Linked DNA regions of Mus musculus. The protein of the gene in region 2 binds, or shares a complex with, the protein of the main gene of each other region. Links are inferred from orthologs where the notes say so. Each region holds a gene or a part of one and is shown on either strand. Other genes may lie near its edges.

Region 1 (4,107 bases), on a different chromosome or scaffold from region 2:
TTTAGACCTGGTCTGGTTGGAAGCTTGAAGTGTCTTTTGTATCTTCTAAGTGTATTTACTTGTAATTGGTACAAATCAACCTAGAAAAAAAAAATAGATGAGTTAGTTCACTCTGTTGAAAAGATATCATTGATCTGTATTATGACACTTCACACAATGACTTCATTTACACACTCAGACCTGTACTTTATTAAACAGTTCCATCTTTGGGGGATACATATTGTAAACTTCCGGAGAAACAAAAGAGGAAGTTGTATGTCAAGAGCTGTAAGAATGTCGTCTGAGATTTAATATTAGTATAAATACATCTTCACTGACTGTATATAACTTTTGAGATTTTTCAGATGCTTTAAACAGTTAAAGAAGAGCTCAAATATTTACAGAATGGTGTTGGGATTGCCAGCATGCTTATGATTTACATATAACATGGGGAAAAGCCTGCCATCTACCTCTGGAGTGTCGATGTCCTGAACAGGCGAGTCTCCCCCATCATCATCGCTTCCTTTCCTCTTCCTTCTGTTCCGAACGCTCTGAATTAAGTTCTTATGATAGTCACAAATGTAAAGATGCCTTGCCTGTAAAGGAAAAATTTTCAAAGACTGTGAGTCCAGAAAAACTGCAGCTAAGTATTAGTAAAATGCATAGGCCCAGGTGGCTGACTAAAAATCATCTTAACAGGCCACTGTTCAGAAGATGCAATGTTTCTTTCCACTATTAAAATGTTGTAACATTAGCAATCTGGCGATACTGTTAAGGAAATGGGGGAGGGGAGGAATTGGAAGCGGTGGGCGGGCGGGTAGTATCTTGGAGAAGGCAGGCAGGCAGGAAAGGAAGAAAAATTCCAATTCTCTGGGTCTTGTCATCAAATTGCAGGGAAGGTGACCTAAATAAGTTAGCTCCTGCTGATTTTAACTTAAAAGGGAGAGGTGGCATTGCCCACAAATTTGTCCTTGTATTTTCTCTAGCTTGAGAGCAGCATTATATTACTCGTAGGTACATGCTTTCTGATTGATCTGTTAGATAGTGAAATTCTACAGGTACAAAGTATGCATTTCTTTACAAATGCAACATTGAATTCATATCCTATGTTTAAATTTGAACCCTAAGGTTTCTTTTTAAGGATTAAGCGAATATATTTCTCTGTATTTTGTGTTTTCAATTAAAGCAAATTATTCATGTTCTCTTGCAAAGTTTCTCATGGACCCTACTGAGAAACCTGCCTAAACAGAATCACAAATAAACTTTTCAAAAAAATTAATTACTCGGGGATTTGAGAGCTGTATATACAGTGGACTAGGAAATACTGAGCTGATTGACACTCTCCCCCCCCCCCCTTTTAAGGCTACAATTAAAGGCCGAATGAACAGGCTTTTAAATTGACTTCTAAGCTAAGGGTAAGTTAAAAATATACAGGATGTCTGGAGGTTCTGTATCTTGTTCTTCCTTTGCCATCAGTCAGAGCTCTGAAAAGTAGCAATGGAATTCTCTGAAACCTCATAGCTGGCCAAAACAGCAGACGTGCATAAAGACAGAAAAAGAAATCCCGATGGCTGCCGAGAGGGCTGTAAAACCGCAGAGGCTTATTTGCAGCCTTGGTTCGGAGCAGCTGCCCGAAGAGCTGACACCGCAAACAACGTTTACAATCATCTATCTCCCTGTAAGGCAACTGGTGAGCTCAGCTTGCTTGTCTGTGTTCAAGAGAAAGAGAACAACGAGGAGGAAAGAAAAAAAGAAAAGACAAAAAGGAAAAAAAGAGAGAGAGAGAGAATTGTGGGGTCCAGCCAGACTCTACTTTCCCTAGAGGAGCGAAGCTGCTCCCTAGGGCAGACACCGGCTCTGGCAGCAAAACAAAGGCGCCTCCATTCCAGAAGGGACTGCCCGGCTGCGAGAAAACTACTCCGGGCCCTCGGTGCTGCGGTCCCCTTTGTTTCGTTTCCAGATCGCAGCAAAGGAGGAAGAGGGAAGCCTGGCGTGGGAGACACGCGAGGCAGCGGGAGTCCGGGCGAGGGGCGGAGGAGCCCCGCACCACTGCGCGAGCGCGCGCTGGGGAAGGTGGCCGGAGTTGCAGGGACTTTGTTTCAATCAGAGAACCACTAATCCCACCTGCAACCCAATCCCCGAGACTCGTGAACCCCGCCAACCATCCGGCGAGGCACGCAGGATAGGGCAGGGCGGTCCCTGGGCCACTTACACTCTTATCCAGCTCGATCTTCACCTTCTTCTGAGAGATGCTCTTCTGGATCCTTTTGCTGAAGCTGGCGTTGCCTGCCGCGCGCCCGCACCGCTCACCGTCCTCCCGCAAACAACAGAGTTGCCCAGGGCCGGGACCGGCCGCTCCAGGTGGCCCAGAAGCTGACACTGCACCGGCACCGGGTACCTCTGCCCCACCGCCGGCTGCGTTCCCATTCCCCGCCGAGGCGGCGGCAGCCGCAGCAGCGACCACCGCGGCCACGGCGGCGGCCGCGTCCCCGCCTCGGCTCATCTCCTCCGGAGTGAAGCCGTTCATGTCTGCCAGTTCGGGGGCGCCGGCGCCGCTACAGAGCCCCGCTCGCCGCGCCGCTCCGCCTCCTTCCCCTGGGCGGCCGTTCACTCCGCACCCCAAGTCTGGTGGCGGCACGGTCCGACGCCCAGAGTCCAGGGCCGGCCGGTCTGTCGGTGCTGGAATAGCTACCAGGTCCTGTGACTGTGATCAGGAGTGAAGTGGCGCCTAGAAAGGAGACCCCACTCACTGTCACATGGAGACTTCAGCAGTTGGACCGCAGCTCCTCCGCCTCCTTCTCAACCCCAGAACCTGCGCGAGGGAGACGCCCCTCCTCTGGCCCCGCCCCACACCTGCCGCGCGGCCCCACGGGAATGGTAGTTCTTGATCGAGGAGCTAACTTGCGCTCTGTTCTGATTACGTGCGGGACCAGCGGGACAAACTACTCATCCCAGCATGCGTCGCGTGGCGAGCCACCCCTAGTTTTTTTTTTTTTCCATTCCAAGCACCGGGCAAGTCTGACTGTGAGGTCAGGCTTTTACCGTGTTTTCTCGCCTCTATTCTCTCCTGCGAGCAAGGGCTGGTTTTAGCTCCTCTTGTTTCGCAAAGTTAGTGTTCAGACCGCCAGCTGACTCCTGGGAAGAAGCATTAATGGTGTGTGTGTGTGGGGGGGTGGGGGGTGGGGGGGGGTAGTAAGAATTAAGTGAGAAAAAGTTTACGGGCTGTTTGGTATTTATTGAAAGAAAACTCGGGATACCTAGCGCTCTTTAGGCGGAGAGTCCTTCATCTCCATCTCCATACCGCAGCTGACTTCTAGAGCGTGGCAGGTCCTTGGCATACTCGTGTGCCGACGGGTTGGCAGGCATCGGGCTGCTTGTCGCCTCTACTGCCACTTGGATTCCTTTCAAACGGATCTAAGAGGGTTTAAGACCATTTAAAGGAAGCACACTAGTATCACGTCTGCAGACTACTCATCAAAACTTAGCCCTGGCTGTAGGGGACGAGGATCGAGAAACCTCTTTTCTTGAGTCATATGCATGCGTACATGTGTGCTTGTGTGTGCCGCGGGTGTGTGTGTGGGGGGGGGGGGGGTTGCGCGCGTGCGCGCCTGGGTACGTGTTTGTGCTCGCGTAATGTGTATTTTTGCCTGTGCCTGTGGTGGGCGGGGTGGAAGAATGGGCGTGGCCATGCCAACCCTGAACCTCTGATAATTATTAGACTTAAGCTTAAGCAAAAATAATTTATTTCAAGTGGAAGAGTTTTGAGAAAGCCTGTTTTAGATTCAACCAATTCAGTGACGATTATATATATATATATATATAATCGTCACAGAGGTCATGAAAAACTTAGGCCCAAGCTTTCACACCTTTAATCCAAAGAGACAAAGCCAAGCAGATTTCATTGTTCAAGACCAGCTTGGAACAGAGCAAGTTCCAAATAGAGAAAAGTTTAAATCCAGTCATGGTAGAACATGCCTTTAATGCCAGCATTAATGATACAGAGCCACACATATCTCTGAGTTCAAGGTCAATATTCAGAGCAAGTTCCAGGACAGCTAAGCTTAGGCTGGGAAGGAGTTGGAAAACATAAAGTTGGTAATAGAATAAGAAGGGGCCACATTCCAGCCT
Region 2 (3,500 bases):
GTATAGTCTGATAATGTACTATAAGGTTTTAAAGCAGGCTTGAATGAAGCGCACTGTTTGTAGGAGGTAAGTCATTAGAACACCCTCTCACACCAGTCCTTGCCCTGGTCAGTGAACCTTAACAAGCAGGAGGCAAGCAGGAGCACACACAAGCTTATGCTTTCCCCGTACAGAGCAGCCTCACTTTTCTCTCGGAGCGCCTTTCTGCCATTCAAACTTGTACTCGGTCTCTCCTTCCGTTTCTTCTTTCTACAACAGTCAGTAAAAAAATCTGTCAACTGTCCATAAAATCACAATCAACTACCGATCAATTCAAACAGAGAAAAGTACTTTACCTCTTTGTTTTCTTGATTGCATATTCAAAGCACAGGAGGGAAACAGGACAAGTTAGAATGTCTACTACTTATCACTGACGGATATAATACAACACTGAAATATCGTTCAGAATAGGCAGTTTAGTTCCTAATTTTTAAGCTTTTATGTTTTCACTGGCAATGAGTAGACTTTCCATTTGGAGATTTATTTTAATAAGGACCACAGGTATGTTTACATTATGAGAGGGCTGAATGTACCTCTGCCAGTATTGAGCATTTTCCTCCAAAGCACATAAGAAACATTAGAAACTGTTTATTTTGCTTTGCACATGACAACATTGTTAGAGCAACAGCAATGGAAAAATACAAATCAAAATTAAAATACTGTCCCCTCTTCTAACTCTTTACAGGTAATTACATCAAAGCTCAAAGGAAACGAGGCGGGTACCTTTCTTAACTCCTGGTGGGGCCTCGTACATGAAATTCAGGCCATTCTTCACACGTTCATCTCCCATAAGCAATCTGAATGAAATAATGATAAAAGTTTAAGTCGAGAAGAATATGACAGCACACTATCTCTCGGAAGGAACCCTGAAGAAATTAAGACAAACCCTGAACAGTGCCTCCTTACTAGAAACTTGCCATAAACCTGAGGCTCCCTCCCTCCCTCCCGTTCTCTCAGTAAGAAAGGAAAAGCATGGTATGGTTACTCTAACAGGATTTTCTTTAAAACTGTCAACTGTTGCTGAAATAGTTTTGAAATCCTGTATGCTATTATATATTTTGGTGCCACAACCTTTAATTTTCTTTAAAAAATATTTAGTTTTTTTCTTTCTGGCTTTTTGAGACAGGGTTTCTCTGTGTAGCTGTGGCTGTCTGGGAACTGGAGTTGTAGACTAGGCTGGCCTTGAATTTACAGAGACCTATCTCTGCTGGGATTAAAGGTGTACATCACCATGGTCAACTATTTTAGTGTTGTTAATTGTGGATTGTGTGTGTGTGTGTGTGGGGGGGTGGTATGTGTGTGAACGTGCATGCACGTGGAGGCCAGAAGCTAAGGGTGTGTGTGTGCTTTTCTCATCCACTCACCTTATTTGTAAGTCACTGTGTGGTGTGTAGAAGCATGTCTGCATGCCTGTGAACTCAAAGGACAGATTTGTGCAAATAGCTCTTTGCTTCTATCTCTGTGTGAGTCTTAGGGATCGCACTGCCTTTACCCGTCTGGCCAGCCCTCCAGCTTACCTTTTAGACATGGTCTCTCAATAAGCCCGGGGTTCACACTGACTGGACTAGAACAGTAAACCAGCAAGCCCTACCTCTAGAGAACTAGGATCAAAGGCACCTACCACAATTTGGCTTTTTATGTGGGGGCTGGGAATCCAACCTTAGGTCCTCATGCCTGCATGATAAACATTTCACAAACTGAGGTAACTTCCCAGCCCAGAGAACCAAATTCTCTAACAGGCTAATACAATGAAAGCCTCAGACGTTCTTAGATTTTTGGTAGCAATTGAAATCTCCTTCTGTAGACTGTGTGCACAGCATGCTGTTGGGCTCTGTAGGGAAAAAGTCCACTGCAAACAGGATGACTATGCTGAGTTACACATAAGTCCCTAAGATCCAAGGTAAGTATTAAAAAAAAGCTAAAGTATGGAATGTCTTTGTATTTGGAAAGACAAGTCAAAGGATATTCTACATTATTGTGTGTAATTCTCTTTTCTCCATGAATTCTATACCAAAAAAGTCTGTTAAAAAAAAAACACAGAAGAACATACATACACATCTTTATTGAGGATTATTACTATTTTTATTATTATTTTAGATTTATCTATTATACATAAGTACACTGTAGCTGTCTTCAGACATACCAGAAGAGGGCATCAAATCTCATTACAGATGGTTGTGAGCCACCATGTGGTTGCTGGGAATTGAACTCAGGACCTCCGGAAGAGCAGTCAGTACTCTAACCACTGAGCTGTCTCCCCAGCCCATAGAATATTATTTTTAATCAAGAGGAATGTGCACTAGTGTAAGTGGTGGATGATCTTCAAAAACATGTTAAGGGAAAGAAATCAGGAGCCCTAACACGGCTCAGAGGGTAAAGTTGCCACCACCCAGGACTGCTGGCCAGAGTTCAATCCCTGGGACCCACATATGTGAAGACAGGGAGTTGCTTCCCACCAAGCTGTCCTCTGACTTCCACATGCGGACCAAAGTCCTCATATGCCACTACACACACACACACACACACATACACACACACACATATAAATAAATATATTTTAAAAATTAAAATAACAGCCAGGGCGATACAGAGAAACCCTGTCTTGAAAAAAAAATTAAAATAATAAACCAGTCACAAAAGACTCTGTAATCATTTGCCTCATGTGTGCATAATTTTAAAAACTACACTGTTATAGGTAGAAAGTAAAAGGTGATTACTTGTAACAGGCAGAAATGAGGTAAATTAAGAAATGGGGAAATGACTCCTGTGGAGGTTTGAATAGGAATGGCACCATAGTCATGCGTTTGAATGCTTGGCCACAGGGAGTGACAGTCTTAAGAGGTATGGTCTTGTTAGAGTAGGTGTAGCCTTGATGGAGGAAGTGTGTCACTGTGGAGGTGGGCTTTGAGGTCTTAGATGCGTAAGCTACACCCAGTGGGGTATACAAGTCTCTTTCTGATCAAGATGTAGAAGTCTCAGCTCCTTCTCCAGCACCATGTCTGCCTGCACGTTGTCATGTTCCCCACCATGACAATAATGGACTCAACCTCTGAACCTCTAAGCCAGCCCCAATCAAGTCTGTCCTATGTAAGAGTTGCCTTGCTCACAACGTCTCTTCACAGCAATGAAACCCTACCTAAAACAGCTACTAATGTGCATCAAATTTCTTTTTCAGATGACAAAATGTTTTGAAAGTTGATATGGTGATGGATTACAAACACTAAACAAAGTTAAAAATTCAGGTGTATTTTAAATATCTATGAATTTTGTCTTAACACCATTCAACCTTTTTAAATCAAGTACATGAAAAGGTTAGTTTCAGTAGACATTGAGAAATACAAATGAAAACTGCAAGCTACCACTCCATACTGATCAGCATGGTTGCTAATATATGGGCTGAGATATAACTCGGTTAGGAGAATGCTGGTCTGACACACGGGAGCCTGTGTCGGCTTCCTAGT

Evidence for each region. The genes of interacting proteins can lie anywhere in the genome.
Region 1: Cir1 (region 2) and Sap30 share a complex: the UniProt entries of both Homo sapiens proteins name them as parts of the histone deacetylase complex. The link is inferred for Mus musculus from reciprocal best matches to the Homo sapiens genes CIRSR and SAP30.

Annotation. Positions count from the first base shown.
Region 1 is NC_000074.6:57,485,061-57,489,167, forward strand, and holds the start of Sap30 (histone deacetylase complex subunit SAP30), read right to left. Parts: upstream 2,801-4,107; 5' UTR 2,507-2,800; coding exon 2,192-2,506; intron 576-2,191; coding exon 450-575; intron 81-449; coding exon 1-80. UniProt on the Homo sapiens protein: Involved in the functional recruitment of the Sin3-histone deacetylase complex (HDAC) to a specific subset of N-CoR corepressor complexes. Capable of transcription repression by N-CoR.
Region 2 is NC_000068.7:73,306,093-73,309,592, forward strand, and holds part of Cir1 (corepressor interacting with RBPJ 1), read right to left. Parts: intron 837-3,500; coding exon 763-836; intron 347-762; coding exon 336-346; intron 250-335; coding exon 185-249; intron 1-184. UniProt on the Homo sapiens protein: May modulate splice site selection during alternative splicing of pre-mRNAs. Regulates transcription and acts as corepressor for RBPJ. Recruits RBPJ to the Sin3-histone deacetylase complex (HDAC). Required for RBPJ-mediated repression of transcription.